Linked DNA regions of Daphnia pulex. The protein of the gene in region 1 binds, or shares a complex with, the protein of each later gene. Links are inferred from orthologs where the notes say so. Each region holds a gene or a part of one and is shown in the gene's direction. Other genes may lie near its edges.

Region 1 (3,276 bases):
GTAACCGACACGCAACTCTTTTCCTCAATGTTGCCGTTTGTTTTCGGCAGGTTGTCATGATTTTGTATTTCGGGAAATCAGCCCTGAATCCATTTATTTACGGATGGAAGAACCGCGATTTCCGACTGGCTTTCGCCCGTTTGCTCCGCTACGTCCCCTGCTCCAAGTGGGCGATGGAGCGCTCGCTCAGCTCGGTGGAAATGGCCACCGGAATCGGATCGAGAGCTGGATCCATCCAGCCGCACGATCGACAGCGACTCAGTAAAATCTATCAGCTGGAGCTGCCACCTATCGAGTGGCAAATCAACTCCACCGACCTCTCCAACGACGACTACCTACAACGAACGATCCCGCCGGATCAGCAACAAGTCACGGACTTGTAAAAATTCACGACGGCACGTTTTGAAATAGTTTTTGTTTTTTCACGTTACGCCGGACGCATGCCAAGAATCGTTCAAGTCAATTCTCACGGGGGCTACACTCTTTATTCATGCAGGATGCCTCTGCTTCTTGGCCTGTCCATCGTTGCTGTTGACTGATGCGGGAGATATGTCACATGATTTTTTCCCCCCATCGGTTGTGTTGATGATATTAAAATATTTTCATGTCTTGTGTATAGGCTCCATTGAATGTTGATTGTATTTTTCGTTCGTGCCGATGCCACGGGATTCAAACTCTCTCTGACTGTCCATATCGTCATATAGCCCACACATATTTTGTATCATCTCTGTTTTCTTACTCAATGGTCCATTCCGCATTTTGTATTTTCTTATTTTTTTGCAACGCATTTCTTTTCGGCCTGATGTACTCATGATTCTCGTTGTTGTAAAACGGACAAGTGGTCAAATTCCTTCGTGTTTAGTAGCCAAATTTACATACTCAATTATTCATGGATCGTTTGTAACTTTGTAAAATGTAACAAACATTGTGTTATGAACGTTTCGTTAGGCGACAATAATATGTAAACAAATACGCTGTGTAATGAGTCTCAAAAATATTAAATCATGTTTATTTACGTCGAACCAAAGTAACTCATTGCGTCATCATCCTAATCACTCAAAAACAGTCATACAGTAAGTCATAAGTTTACAATTAATTAATTAAAACCAAATGGAATGCAATGTTTTGTTTTGTTGAACGCTAATAAAACTTTAAAAAAAACAGAACAAAATCACGAATACGATCGTTCACAAATCACTAAATCAGTAAATCACGATGTTTTCTTTTCTTTCGTTTATTGGCGTGCTCGGGTGCGAAAAGGCTTCCATGTTAGAAAATCCGGGCACGGCGACATTTTAATAAGCGCCGCCTTACGTCGTCTAACCTAACAGTGTCGAGCATCGTTTACACACAGTAAACAAGTTAAACCTCGGCCGCAGAGTATGGCTGGGAATTTCTGGCAAAGCTCGCATTGGTTAGTTTTTATTTGTCTAACGTTTTGATTCACATTTAATTACTCACTTTATTATTAGTCAGCAGTGGCTACTAGACCCTTCTGATTTGGTTCGAGAACGCCAAGGGGATTTCGCCATCGTCACGGAGGAAGACTATCAAAAACTCTTCATCTTCTTTAGTAACTGTAAGTTTATATTAACTATGGAATCATCTCCTAAATGTTGAATAATAAAAGTGTCTTTCTCATGTTAGTCATCCAGGTTCTTGGTGAGCATTTGAAACTCAAACAACAAGTCATAGCGACTGCCACAGTTTACTTCAAGCGGTTTTATGCCAGGAATTCCTTGAAATGCATTGATCCACTGCTACTTGCCCCCACATGCATTCTGTTGGCTTCAAAAGTCGAAGAGTTTGGTGTAATTTCGAACAACAGATTAATCACAACATGTCAATCAGTTGGTATGTGATCTTTTCATAAGACAAAATTTGTTATTGTGATTCAATCAACTTCTTAAACAGTCAAGTCAAAGTTCAACTATGCCTATCCTCAAGAGTTTCCCTACAGAGCACAACACATCCTTGAGTGTGAATTTTATTTATTGGAAAACATGGATTGCTGTCTAGTTGTTTACCAACCTTACAGGTGATCAACTGTTTCTGAGAAAATTTAAAGCATAATGTAATAATGTTTTCATTTGAAATTTCCACACAGACCACTTGTCCAATTTGTTCAAGACATTGGGCAAGAAGATCTTCTTGGATTGTCATGGAAAATAGTCAATGATAGCCTAAGAACTGATATATCTCTTCTGTACCCCCCTTACCAAATTGCATTGGGTTAGCTTGAATTATTTTTGTCTTTTATCATGTGAACTCTACTTCATTTATTTCTTTCTTTTCTTCTGTATTAGCTGCCATGCAAATGGCTTGTGTTGTGCTTCAGAAAGACGGGAAAAATTGGTTTGCGGAAATTGCCGTCGATACGGATAAAATTCAAGAAATAACGCGTCAAATTCTGGCTCTGTACGATCTCTACAAGACCTACGACGAGAAAAAAGAAATTCAGGGTTTGTTGGCCAAAATGCCTAAACCCAAAACGCAGCCAAGTCGGTAGGATATTCAATTTCCTATTTAGATCCCAATTCTTTCTTATTTGATCACATTGCAAAGAATAAAATTTTAAAATTGTTTAATACACTGTGATAACTATGTAGGCCTCCCTCGTCAGCACAATCACAGGATGGAATACAGGGCACAAATGACCAGTCCATGGGTGTGACAAATTGATTATCATTATCATTCTCATTTTATAAACTGAAAAACACAAAAAAAACTGTGTTATGATCAACTATTTAATACATGCTTTCTTTTACAATGAAAATGAGAACGCAATTTCTCTATTCTAGTAGTTTAGAAACAACATCAAGGCGGGGAGTACGTATGTAAGCGGCTTCGTTGAAAACGTTTCCGCGCTGTTACTTTGTTGGATTTTCCATCGTGCAATATTTTCGTTAGGATTGCCTTGATCACCGTCAAACCAAATACGCATGCAGGGCTCTGAATTATTGGTATACTTCCATGAATGATCCCAAACCTTTTAGAAAATAAAAATGTAATCAAAATTCTAGGGAGAATGTTAATACTGTTTACCCTTTCACAAAAATTAGATGAGTTTTGAAAGATATCGGAAAAGGTGCGACATTCGGATTCAGGTCGGCAGTGATTGGTCCCATTAATCCATTTGAAGTTTAATGTCCAATTGTCTGTACATGTGTAATCATCCTTGCAAGCATTGAACCAATCATCACAATCAGTGGCGCAAAGAGGCACGTCCAAGAATCTTTCTCTGCGCATTTTCATGTTTACCTAGATAAAAAAGAA
Region 2 (2,709 bases), on another chromosome or scaffold:
TGTGTGGCAACTCGGATTCACGGGACATAAAAGTGCAGACGATGTCAACATAAATATTATACGATGTCGTTGGACGATATCTCCTGCCTCTAGAATAAAAAGGACTCTGTGTATAGATGAAGAGATAGGCCGTGATGACATATTTATTGAACGGGTGTTATGAATGCTACTGCTGCTCGTCATTTATTGAGCAGCGCTCTGGCCAAGACGAAATCAATTGTTGTTAAAATGTCGACATTCCAAGGTGCCAAGGATCTTTTCGGCGGAATCATTGTGCGCTCGAGCGAAGAGCCACAAGAAAGGAACCGAATGGAGCAGCTTCTTAAAGGTGCAAATTTATTTTTATATATTAACACATCATTTGTTTTATGTAATAGTTGTTTTGTTTGTTTTTAGAATCTCTGCAAGTCTGGTCCACCACTGGAGTTCGTGGAGTCTGGTTTGAAGTGGAACCAACCTGTGCTGAATGGATTCCAGTACTAATTCAGGTAGTCAAAGAAGAATTATTGCTAGTCAAAACTGCACGAGCATTACCTTATTCATTTTCTTAGAATGGCTTTTCTTTCCATCACGCAAACCCAGAGTTGAGTGTGTTGCTCAAATGGTTGCCTTCTGACGAACCTTGTCAAGTGCCTAGTTATGCACACACAATGGTAGGCGCTGGAGCCATGGTTGTCAATGATAAGAATGAGATTCTTGTGGTTCAGGAAAGGTATTACAAAAGACCACACTGGAAACTCCCTGGTGGTTATGTAGATCCAGGTATGTATATTTAGACATCATTAACATTCAATCATTACCAATTATTAAATTTACAGGGGAAAGTATTGCTACTGCTGTCAAGAGGGAGGTGTTTGAGGAGACTGGTATTAAGACAGAGTTCGTTTCACTCGTTGCCGTGCGGCATTTGCAATCAAGAGAGAAGAATCCCAGTGCAAGGTTCGGCTGTTCAGACATTTATTTCGTGACTTATCTCAGACCTGTTGAAGGTAGCACAGAAATCAAAATGTGTCCTCGTGAGCTCAGCGACGCTTGTTGGATGCCGGTTAGTTTTCTAAATGTCAACATTTTCAATTATTCCTAGTCTGTGTAATTGAATTTTAAATATTTTAGCTGAAAGAATATGCGACTCATCCGCTTGCCTTCGAAGTTGGGAAAATCTTTGCTACACAGTTAATGGCGATTGCCGATGGCGATAATCCCGCAATCAACTGCCTGGAATCTATCCATCAATTGACTAATAGCAATAGCCAAATTTACTTAGTTGAAGGAAAACAAAATTTTAAACTGTAATGTGTTCAGGATCACGTTCTAGTATTTTGTTTTAGTGCCTGTTACGGGAATCAGATAACGCATTATATTTAGCTTGAATTGTTGTTTTAACAAATTATATATGCAGATCGGTAAATTACTGCCCAGTTCCTGTAATCATCAGAATGTAGAATTAATTTCACAATACAGGTTGTGAATGTTTAAATTTGGCATTGAAGTTATCAGATTCATCGCTAGGTGGCGTAATAGCCGGCACATCTGCTTTTCTCATCTCTGCATTTCCATCAACAATGGCTGATCGTTTGACACAACTCCAAGACGCTATAAATGCGGTATTTATAACTGATTGCATTGACGAAATTGCCAAGTGTATCGTCTCAAATTCGTGGTTTAATTCTCTGTTTCTAGCAAGCTGATAATTTCTGCAATGCCATCGGTATTTTGCAACAAACCGCCCCACCGGCTACATTCCCAGGTTTCGATCGAGCAGGCAATCGAACACCTCAACAACAACAAGAAGATCACGCTTCTCTTTTTGCCACATTGATTGCCCGCTGCGCCAAAGATATTGACGTCCTAATCGATTCACTACCCAGTGAAGATTCTACCTCCGAACTGCAGGTATAAACTTGGTTCTATTAGTATTCTGTCGGTGCAATGTTCTACGAAGTTGACTAAAATTAATTCAATCGCTGCAGATTGCAAGTCTCAGAAGGCTGGAGAATGAAAATGAAAGTGCCGCTGCACGATTGAGGGAGGTTGTCAGCGAAGGAGAGCTGATGCTCGAGAAAATTCAGAATGCACTTCACGACATTGCACAGACCCAACTGGCCATGCAGAGCACAGGTCCAAATTCCTAAATCCAACCATTATTTGCTCTAGTTCCCTATTTTTGATATTTAAAAGAAGAAAATGAAACAAACAATTTGCTCTGCAAGAATTTCGTTTCATTTCTGGTTTCCGCCACAACATCAATTTTAAATCTGTTCTTTTCAAAATCATATTGAGTGAACATTCTTGTCACACACAGGTGAGGCAAGTCATTTCAGGAAGGAAGGAAGATGGGGTGACAGATTGTAAAAGAAACTGTTTGAAAAGGATTCCAACCTTTTATATATCCACTTCTTTTTTTGTCTTCCTTTAGAAAACCCAAAATGGAAAGAAGGGGGGAGAGAAGTTGCTGTTCACTCGTAAGAAGAGAAAGAACACGCGGTCCGTTTGTTTAGGAATGGCGTGCAACAAAAAAAAAGAGGAGGGGGGAGCGGGAGGAGGAGAAAAAAAAAACGATAGAATGTTGTTTAGCTTTTTATTTTTTAAAAAAGAAGAAGTAGAAAAAATTCTCCCGTGTGTATAAATATAGTGCTGCCATCTTCTCCGACCCCTTTCGGCGATCTCCGGTCGTTCGGTAAGAAGGGGGAAAAATAAAGGGGGTTGGAA
Region 3 (2,732 bases), on another chromosome or scaffold:
TGCAGGAACAACATCCCCGACGATTGCCGGATGAATTTCCGTCGTGGGTTTAATCGCCGTTGGTTTGACCATGGCCGCCTCGACTTCAGCCCCATTCGCAGGTTTAGCGACAGGACTTGGTGAGGGAGACGGATGGTGGATGATGTTACTGAAATTGATGCCCATGTGTTGAAGTGTATTGGGAGCCCAAGTTACAGAACGGCAACCGTTTATTGCCTTAGACGTGGACCTTTGGGTTGATCCACAGCAAAGATAACTTCTATTCCCCCACAGGGCAGGGTGATACACATTCACAAGAGGAGCACTGTCTTTGACCACTATCAGGAGAAAAATAAAATAAATTATTAGATGAGATAAAATGAACATGTGAGATAAATACTGCTATTTGTCACACATAACTACTTGAGACGTCAAAAGAGAATGTTCTCACCAACTCGGATATTCCAAAGCCAGATATCTCTTTCTTGCTGAGTGGGAGTGAAAATGCAAAGAGTCAAGTCTGTTGCACTACAACCTTCATTACACTCATAAGGATTGTACACTATCTGAAAAGCAGGAGATCCCTTCAAATCACTCGGAATGGAACCTGTAAGGTTTGCCAATGGACCGATGGCAGGTGTGTCAGGTGCTGGATCAACAGCTTCCACAACTTTCACTGTTTGGAGGTCGACACGTCCCTTTTCTTTTCCTTTGCGATTCTGTTGTTTGGAATTGATGGTTGTGATGAATTAGTGATGAAGGGATTCACGAACACAGTCCATGCGTGTTTAGTAGAACTAAACCTTACCTCGCATTCGCCCTCGTAGTAGGCGAGGAACTTTGTGGTAAGGACGAACCATCGACTCTTGTAGTTGATCAAACTAAACCTCTTCTTGTTCTGTGATCGTTTCACTAAATTGCCTTGCTTTTTTACCTCACCTGCAAGAGGTTTGGCAGAGCTTTTAAACATACTTACAAAACGATCACTAATCAAAAAAGTAGTCCCCACTTGATAAAGCTGTTATAACTTCGTTCATTGTCTTTCTCCCTGGACCCTGGTACGAAGAGAATGAAAGCAGGACGAAGAAAAAGCTCTCCAAACCTCTCTAAATACTGGCAACTCGGACAGATCTAGCGGCAGTTGCCGACAACTATTATCGGATTTAATTTCCTCCGAAAATTAGCGATAAAATCGAGGAAATATACATTTAAAATAAAAAAATAAACAACGATTAATTGATTTAATGACAATTTAATGTAAAATTGAATTCTTTTACAACATTCTAAATCAAATTTGTTTCCATTCAAGAATGGCGTGTCGGGACAGCCACAAAAAGGAGAACATTGATCAAAAAATAGTCTGCTGAAATCCCCAAGCAAACGAACTAGAAAACGTCACATTCTTCATTCTTGAAAACAAACTATATTGTTTACATTACTATATTGCTTCATTCCAGTGGGAAAGTAAAAATGTCAGAAACGGCTCAAGTTAGTTCATTACCTTTGCCACCGATGCAATATGTCAGTCTTTTTAATGAAGAAAACGCTAAAAGAGGAAGAACACCGAGACCACCTCCTCCGATCACAGACAATTATTCCATGTTTGGTAATCCATATAATACTGATGATGCTGTGATCCGACCTCTTGAAAGCCAGGTGATAGAAGTTTTTTCTTAATCAAAGCTTTCTTTAATACTCGTTTTACTATTCCAGAATATACGACGTCTGTACCCTAATAACTATGACCACAGAAGAGAACTGAAAAAGCTCAATCACTCCATCACTGCTAGTTTCCTTGACTTGGTTGATATCTGCATACGAAATCCAGAGTCTGAAGCAAGAGCCACAAAAATTGATGACCTCACTTTGCTTTTCATTCACATGCATCATCTGGTCAATGAATTTCGGCCTCATCAAGCAAGGGAAACTCTTAGAGTTATGCTAGAACAACAAAAACGACAAAGATTGGAAATTGCAGAGCGTTTCAGAAGACATTTTGACAAAGCTTGGGAATTGGTTCAGCAGGCTGTCAACACAATTCCTGAACCAACTGAAGGCAACATCAAGCTCCTTATAGATGTTGAACGGGTTCAACCTTCAGAAGGCAATGCAAGCAACCAAACTTCTGGGAATGGGTGTACTGAGGAGGATCGTGTTCTGTGTCAAATGATTGATTCTTTGTGAATTCTGTGTTATTTTATGTTTATTCAAAGTGGAAAATACATTCGATCTACTCGCCTTTCTGATGTAAAATAGTCTGCTGTTTTATTTTTAATCGTTTTGGGACAAACATAATCTCGGTGATTTATTTTTTTTTAAGAATTTTTATTTTAAAATAATTATTGCAATAGATTTTTCTATTTGTATTTTAGTTGATAAATGTTGATGATCCACCTAAATTAAACATCTAGATCAAATTGCAACGTTGTTTATTCGTTTTAGTCCGTCTGCAGTCGCTGTAACATATTTTTCCTTCAAATTTTTCCTCTTGAAAGTTGATTCGAAACAACAATACCGTTGAAGTTAATTCTCTGCTTTTGGTAAGTGCATTGCTGTTAATTTAACTGTATATTGAACCGGTCTATCGATAGTTATTAGTTTTATCATTTCGCCTTGCAGGTAACATTCAATTGTTATAGCCAAAGCAAGTTTTTACACGTGATCATCTTTCGTTAGTAGAGTAAATTTTAAAATGACTGAAAGAAAAGTCAGCCCAGTTCCCGTCTATAACAATATCCTAATGGAACAATTTT
Region 4 (2,774 bases), on another chromosome or scaffold:
CCCCCCCCTCTCTGCGTCGACTGCTATATACTCGGCGACGTGACGCAAATGGAATCGGGGGCTTGCTGTAATTGCCTTCAACGGCAGGTTAACATCACAACAGTTGCCGAAAGTATAGAGACGAGGCGGAGTCAGTTTTTGGGCATTGTCCGTCGCACGTGCCACCGCCCACCGGTTCGTCTACCTAGTGGCAAAAGCGTTATTAATATGGCGGGGAAATGTAATGAGAATCTTTTCCACGAAAATTTGAAACTCCTCAGGTAAAAAAAAAAAAGGCTGATATGGGTCAGGCAATAAGCGGCAGGTGATTGATAAAAGCCCACACTGCCTCAGCAACAGCTGGATCATTTTTGTCATGTCACGCCACCTGTTGCTACCTACGCTCTACTGAATTCTGTGCTATCAATGATGGAATATTACTCCATCATTTATCCCGGACCGACGGCAGAAATCCGCGTTGAATCTATTTGTTACTCCAATCACGTCACTTTGCTGATTGAACTTATAATCATAGAAGAGTGGAATTTCAAGCACGATTATTAGATAATACCAGGGAATTAAGATTGATACGTTCATCCTCTTGATTGTCGCATGGTCTACCGGAAAACTCGGGGCCGTAGGTGAGAACCAACCATTATACATCCGCCGAGTGCGCAGGAGGATGGCTACGTAGTATAGACCTACCACATGTACAATACGTGAATATGCACTCAGACATGATACACCGCCCTCACGGCCGCGTGCATTATCCGGATGTCACGTATACACGGAGTAGATATGACACTTTAAGATGATATTTCTGACCTATACATGGTAGAATGCTATCGCCCCCGCACCGGATATCCGATCAAAAGTGGCGAAAATAAGAACAAAAGTCAAAGAAAAATTTCAACAGATTTCGTTTGGGTTGAATATTTTTGATTAGCCTACTTTCAAATATTTCCGTTCTGGAAAAGGACGATAAAATAGTAACGGAGGCGTAGAATGTCGCATATGTGAAACAACTGGAAATCACACGGTAATATATTCCATCTTTTTATTTTTCCGTTCGCCTTTCCTGCTGAATTCATAATTTTTCTGATTTGACTTTTTTATTTTGGTATTTTTGTTTTTCAACTCCATATTCCATCTAAATTCTTCTATTGATCTTACCTCCTACAGGAAAATAAAATAACTCACGGTGCAAACTGAAGTTAGTATAGTCTAGCCGTCTAGCCTATCAGCTGCGGCTTCATGGTTTATTAGGGTCCTACGGCGCAGCGCAACCGCAAAATGTTATCCAAATTCGGAAATCAAACTGTGTGATAAGGCCACCACACACATTAATAAATTGTGGGCATGAAATTTGAAATCGTTTTAATTTTTTTTTTATTTTGTAAAAATTTTTTTAAGTTAATTCAATTTTTAATATTTTCTCGATTTCTTTCTAGATGGCATCAATTGATCAAGCAGACGACAAATTGCAAAAGTTGACGCTTTCCAATTTCCATTTCAAGTTGTTGTCTGACGTTTCCATTCTGTCCGGTTGCCTCGTTTCTAGATTTCCAAAACTGTTGAAGCAAACTACGTTATTTCGTTGTTTGCTTCGCAATGAGCACCAGAGGTAAATATATCGTGAAGTGTAGTCGTTTTCAATACAGATTCTCATTGCTATGTTATTATTCCTTTTTCCGATGGGTAGAAACTGATGAACAACAAAGGATTCGATTTCAGGTGGAACTAGAATTTGTGCAATGTTTCGCAAATCCAAATTATCTGCACTGTAAGTATTTGGTCTATTTTTAAAATCAACACTTTCATTATGCCTTGTTTACACTAGTCCTTGCTCAACGTGGCTATTTTAAGGATCCGGCGTTTGTCAACTACATCAAGTATTTACAGTATTGGAAGGAGCCTGCTTATGCAAAATATTTGAAGTACACCAATTCACTTGCAATTTACCCTAACTAGAAATTACAATTTCATTATTTTCCAGGTACCCAATGTGTTTGCATTTCCTAGACTTGCTTCAATATGAGCATTTCAGAAAGGAGGTTGTGAATGGCCAGTGTGCTCGCTTCATTGATGATCAACAAATCCTTCACTGGCAACATTACACTAGAAAGAGGGTTCGTCTTCTTCAAAGTCAAGCTGAGAAGCACATGATGACTGTTCAGAATGAGCCAACACCCCAGAAAAGTGTTTGATTCATGATAATTATTGTTTAAGGAACTTTTTAAACTTCTCTTATATTGGGCAAGTATATGCAAGACAATATAGACAAATTTTTGTAAATTGCTGTATTTTGTGTTGAGTTTTTGCAAACTACCAGACAAAATGTTAACAACACATATGTTTTGGAAGACTTGTTTTGAGTGAGAATGTTTAGAATGGAATAGCTGCTGTTGACCTCAACTGATGGGAGCGAGTGGAAAATCTCTACATATTACGAGATTTGTCATCAGTTACTATACTCAACAACCTCAAAAGGCAGATTTTCTTCACTTCTTCAATCCCAATGTTTAGTTCTTCAGCAGCTGAGTGTTCCAATCTCTCAACTATTCCTTTCAAGATTGCTTCCTTCTTGTTCTGCCTGGCACAGATAACAAAAGGAAATCCAAACTTTTCTCTGTATCTATTAAAATAATAGCCCAAAAGACACAGCTCATTAGTTACTATATAGTTATAGAACAGTAATTTGTCATACTTGATGTTGGTCTCTCCTAGCAGTTGTTTTTCACCAGGTGTCATTGTGTCTAAACCAGCAGCTTTCTGTTCAGCAGTACTCTCCTGTG
Region 5 (3,927 bases), on another chromosome or scaffold:
TTCGGCATTGTACGTGGTGTTGATGCTCATCCCACGGTGACTTCTTTTCAACAAATCATTCGCTATGTGTCTCTTGGAGCAAGATTATCCACGATTATACAAGGAGCAAACGTTGACAATGTTGAGCAGATGAACATCCTAGTAACAATGTCAAAATGCCTTAAACGTCAAGCCAAGGAAAGTGACATTCGAGCTTCCGACCTGAGATCAGTATTAGAAGATAAACTACTGAAGGAAATAACAATTCGGTTTGTTGATAAAATTAACGAACCAGCGAATTCTAATTTCGTCAAAGATATTTTGATTTATGATTTGTGTGGTTATATGATTCACACAAGGAAGAGTATGTCAAAATGTCCTGACTGTTACAAATCCCTTCGCTGCGAGGAACTGGAGTTGCCAGAAGACTTCACTGCAGATCATTATACTCGAATGCGCAATAAGGGGTTTTTGATCTTTGTCACTGTAAATATGTTCCAAACATTCAGAGTGATAGAAAAGGTAATTGAGGGTCATTTTGAGCCAATTGGCCAAATGTATGAAGAGGAGTCATTTCAAGAGTGCATGGAGAAAATTTCAACTTGTCATTTGGTTCCCATTTTTTGTGACATTCATCGAGATGAAAAGTTACCTTACCTCATAAGAGAATATGTGGGAGTTAGATATTATTTTGAATCAAAAAGACTAAAAAATCTTTTGTTAGCTGAAGCTTCAGCAAATGTAAAAAAAAACAAAAAATTAGCAAAACTTGCGTAGGTACCTCTGTATTTATGAAACATTGTATGCAAGAAAATGATTCGTTTTAATAAATACCCATTTGTAACTACACTAGAATAAAATTCAAAGTAACTGAAAACTAAACATACCATGTCATTACATATTTTTTTTACACAAACAAACAATAAAATGTAAGAATGTGAGAACACTTAGAAAAATAGGACACTTATATATGACTTAGAGGTTTGACAGTTGGATACTTCTACCTTTTTATTATTGTTCACTTCTTGTAGAAAAGTAAGCTGTGATTGGTCAATGAGTTTTTCATAGACCCTTCCTGATTGGCTGGCTTCACGTAGTACCTGACACACTCACTAGAGGCGCTCATCAATTTTTCCAAATCGGACCACGGTTACCCTGAAACCGGGATAGGGAAGCCAACACGGCCGAGAACCGACCAGGTATCTATTGCTCTGCCTTTTATTTGAATTTTTAGTTTTTTCCGTCTGCTCTTCATTTCCTCCATCTGGCAAACGTCATTACAGTATAACAAACCAAAAATCGTCAACAAGAAAAAATATCAACATTACACAAATTGATTTGCATTCATGCAATAACTAGCATGGATTACGATTTTAAAGTTCGAACGAGCGTAGAACGTACCAAAGTAGAAGATCTGTTTGAATATGAAGGAAGGAAGATTGGTCGTGGTACTTACGGTCATGTGTATAAAGCGAAAAGAAAGGAAACATTCGCCACTTCGGATATTAATAAACTAATTAGGTTTGATATTCTCTAAGCACGAGAAATTGTGTAAGTTCAATATAATTATGTTTTATTTTATAGTGCTGACCAAAAGGAATATGCATTAAAGCAAATTGAAGGCACTGGTCTTTCCATGTCAGCTTGTCGTGAAATAGCCTTGCTCAGGGAGTTAAAGCATCCTAATGTGATCAATCTTCAACGAGTATTTCTTTCCCATACTGATCGCAAAGTTTGGCTTCTTTTTGATTATGCAGAACATGACTTATGGGTTTGTTAAAATCTTCCTTCTAAAGTTGTTTTGGTTCATGATCTTTTAACTTATTATATTTGTCACAAACCAAAATTTAGCACATCATTAAATTCCACAGAGCAGCCAAAGCAAATAAAAAGGCAGTTTACACTCCTAAAGCCATGGTAAAATCTTTGCTATATCAAATCTTGGATGGGATTCACTACTTGCATTCTAACTGGATCCTTCATCGTGATTTGGTATTGAGAATTATCTGCTTTTGTTAATATTTTCATCAACAAATAGATTTTTGCTTTCTTTTCCTTAGAAACCAGCCAACATCTTAGTCATGGGAGAAGGAATTGAAAGGGGAAGAGTTAAAATTGCCGACATGGGTTTTGCTCGTTTGTTTAATTCACCACTGAAACCTTTGGCTGATTTGGACCCTGTAGTTGTGACTTTCTGGTATCGAGCACCAGAACTGCTTTTAGGAGCTAGGCACTACACAAAAGCTATTGGTAAAACATTAGTAGTTTGTGTGGTGTTTCACAATTCTATATCATTGCTTTACAATTTATTTTAGATATTTGGGCTATTGGATGTATTTTTGCTGAACTACTAACATCAGAACCAATTTTTCATTGTCGTCAAGAAGACATTAAAACTTCCAATCCCTATCATCACGATCAACTCGATCGGTATGAAAATTTGCTCTTCGTGAGTGTCAGAAATGAATTATTTATTACATTTCCTTGTAGAATTTTCAACGTAATGGGATTTCCACATGACAAGGACTGGGAAGATATTAAAAAAATGCCTGAACATCCTACACTTCTCAAGGATTTTAAACGTAACAAGTAAGTGTTTATTTCCATTTGTTTGTTTACTTCTTAATATTAACTCCATGTTCAAAATGCATCTTTTGTTTATTTTTTTTTTATTTTTTTCTTTTAGCTATCAAACATGTTCCTTGATGAAGTATATGGACCGGTATAAAATTAAAGCCGATACTAAAGCTTTTCATTTGGTAATCGATATTTAAAATTAAAAGTTGCGTTTTTTTCTCTCCTTTTTTGACTGATTAATTTGCTTCAAGCTTTCCAAACTTTTAATGATGGATCCTACTAAAAGATTCACCTCAGAATCTGCCATGGCTGATCCTTACTTTCAGGAAGATCCTTTACCTACTTCAGAGTAAACTTAAAATAAGAATCATAATGTAATATAAGAATCAGTTTTGATCAGATTTGTGTTTCATTAGCGTATTTGCTGGTTGTCCTATTCCGTACCCGAAGCGAGAATTTTTGAGTGACGAAGAGCAAGATGACAAATCTGATAGCAGCAAGGTAATAATAAATTGTTCTTTTGATTTTATTTTATCTAGTCTTTTTCGTCTCCCTTGTTTTGGTTTTCTTTCATTTGCGTTTTATTTGGCATTTGGGTACACTTTTGAATTCAGATGATTGCTAAGAATCCACAGGGTCAGAATACTGCAGCGAATGCCCCCAATGACCAGTCTCATGGTCCTAATGCAAAACGAGTACGGTTGGCTCCCCCACATCCTGGAAACAATGTTGGTGGATCCAACATGTCAGGAGGCCCACCAGATTTCCATGGTCAACATGTTGGACAGCAACCCCATGTACAGCAGCATCCTTCTGCACAGCAACAACAACAACAGCAGCAGCAGCAACAACAACAGCAACAACAGCAGCAGCAACAACAACAACAGCAGCAGCAGCAGCAACAACAGCAACAGCAACATGCTTCACAATCGGGTAATTCTAATCATGGCCATGGCCATCACCCTCAGCATCCGTCACAACAAGGCAACATGCAAGGAGGTATGCATCCGAACTATTCCAATCATCCTGGCCATCCTCAACAACAGTCGCATCCTCAGCAAAACAACTCATTTAATCAAAGATTCTGATGCTCTTTTCATCTATTACTAGCAACTTATTGTATTTTGTCTTCATTTTGAATTCGTAAAATAAAATAAAATGCGTACATTTTCATACTAAAACGTTTAATAATGCATTACCGCTGGAAATGAAAAAGGTACATAGAATAAAAGATACACGATGGATCGTGTTTTGATTCCAGGAATCAAAGGAAAATTGCTGTAAACTATGATCATGTTTGACGAAGGGAGTAACTGCCAAATAGCGAAAACAAGTGGAGGCTGTGTATGGGTACTTGGGTAGAGCAAAAAA

The links. Proteins that work in one complex are often made in the same cells at the same time.
Region 2: cyclin-C-like (region 1) and mediator of RNA polymerase II transcription subunit 21-like share a complex: the UniProt entries of both Caenorhabditis elegans proteins name them as parts of the mediator complex. The link is inferred for Daphnia pulex from reciprocal best matches to the Caenorhabditis elegans genes cic-1 and mdt-21.
Region 3: cyclin-C-like (region 1) and mediator of RNA polymerase II transcription subunit 7-like share a complex: the UniProt entries of both Caenorhabditis elegans proteins name them as parts of the mediator complex. The link is inferred for Daphnia pulex from reciprocal best matches to the Caenorhabditis elegans genes cic-1 and let-49.
Region 4: cyclin-C-like (region 1) and mediator of RNA polymerase II transcription subunit 31-A-like share a complex: the UniProt entries of both Caenorhabditis elegans proteins name them as parts of the mediator complex. The link is inferred for Daphnia pulex from reciprocal best matches to the Caenorhabditis elegans genes cic-1 and mdt-31.
Region 5: cyclin-C-like (region 1) and cyclin-dependent kinase 8-like share a complex: the UniProt entries of both Caenorhabditis elegans proteins name them as parts of the mediator complex. The link is inferred for Daphnia pulex from reciprocal best matches to the Caenorhabditis elegans genes cic-1 and cdk-8.

Annotation. Positions count from the first base shown.
Region 1 is NC_060017.1:5,572,603-5,575,878, reverse strand, and holds cyclin-C-like, read left to right. Parts: upstream 1-1,254; 5' UTR 1,255-1,382; coding exon 1,383-1,414; intron 1,415-1,472; coding exon 1,473-1,579; intron 1,580-1,647; coding exon 1,648-1,854; intron 1,855-1,914; coding exon 1,915-2,038; intron 2,039-2,107; coding exon 2,108-2,232; intron 2,233-2,306; coding exon 2,307-2,505; intron 2,506-2,609; coding exon 2,610-2,682; 3' UTR 2,683-2,776; downstream 2,777-3,276. Other genes in the region: adenosine receptor A2b-like, read left to right, coding at 51-383; folate receptor alpha-like, read right to left, coding at 2,798-2,989, 3,046-3,261. UniProt on the Caenorhabditis elegans protein: Component of the Mediator complex, a coactivator involved in regulated gene transcription of nearly all RNA polymerase II-dependent genes.
Region 2 is NC_060027.1:1,946,137-1,948,845, reverse strand, and holds mediator of RNA polymerase II transcription subunit 21-like, read left to right. Parts: upstream 1-1,469; 5' UTR 1,470-1,562; coding exon 1,563-1,604; intron 1,605-1,680; coding exon 1,681-1,893; intron 1,894-1,970; coding exon 1,971-2,132; 3' UTR 2,133-2,209; downstream 2,210-2,709. Other genes in the region: nudix hydrolase 8-like, read left to right, coding at 160-328, 397-488, 552-762, 819-1,045, 1,114-1,293. UniProt on the Caenorhabditis elegans protein: Component of the Mediator complex, a coactivator involved in the regulated transcription of nearly all RNA polymerase II-dependent genes.
Region 3 is NC_060019.1:10,647,665-10,650,396, forward strand, and holds mediator of RNA polymerase II transcription subunit 7-like, read left to right. Parts: upstream 1-1,313; 5' UTR 1,314-1,449; coding exon 1,450-1,635; intron 1,636-1,692; coding exon 1,693-2,163; 3' UTR 2,164-2,232; downstream 2,233-2,732. Other genes in the region: tyrosine-protein kinase Btk29A-like, read right to left, coding at 1-317, 431-698, 788-949. UniProt on the Caenorhabditis elegans protein: Component of the Mediator complex, a coactivator involved in the regulated transcription of nearly all RNA polymerase II-dependent genes.
Region 4 is NC_060024.1:13,245,235-13,248,008, reverse strand, and holds mediator of RNA polymerase II transcription subunit 31-A-like, read left to right. Parts: upstream 1-1,449; 5' UTR 1,450-1,590; coding exon 1,591-1,603; intron 1,604-1,681; coding exon 1,682-1,762; intron 1,763-1,819; coding exon 1,820-1,916; intron 1,917-1,975; coding exon 1,976-2,186; 3' UTR 2,187-2,274; downstream 2,275-2,774. Other genes in the region: 2-oxo-4-hydroxy-4-carboxy-5-ureidoimidazoline decarboxylase-like, read right to left, coding at 2,419-2,614, 2,687-2,774. UniProt on the Caenorhabditis elegans protein: Component of the Mediator complex, a coactivator involved in the regulated transcription of nearly all RNA polymerase II-dependent genes.
Region 5 is NC_060023.1:3,950,021-3,953,947, reverse strand, and holds cyclin-dependent kinase 8-like, read left to right. Parts: upstream 1-1,127; 5' UTR 1,128-1,339; coding exon 1,340-1,500; intron 1,501-1,563; coding exon 1,564-1,750; intron 1,751-1,830; coding exon 1,831-1,971; intron 1,972-2,039; coding exon 2,040-2,229; intron 2,230-2,294; coding exon 2,295-2,409; intron 2,410-2,469; coding exon 2,470-2,568; intron 2,569-2,665; coding exon 2,666-2,738; intron 2,739-2,807; coding exon 2,808-2,905; intron 2,906-2,972; coding exon 2,973-3,057; intron 3,058-3,170; coding exon 3,171-3,644; 3' UTR 3,645-3,737; downstream 3,738-3,927. Other genes in the region: uncharacterized protein LOC124198281, read left to right, coding at 1-756. UniProt on the Caenorhabditis elegans protein: Component of the Mediator complex, a coactivator involved in regulated gene transcription of nearly all RNA polymerase II-dependent genes.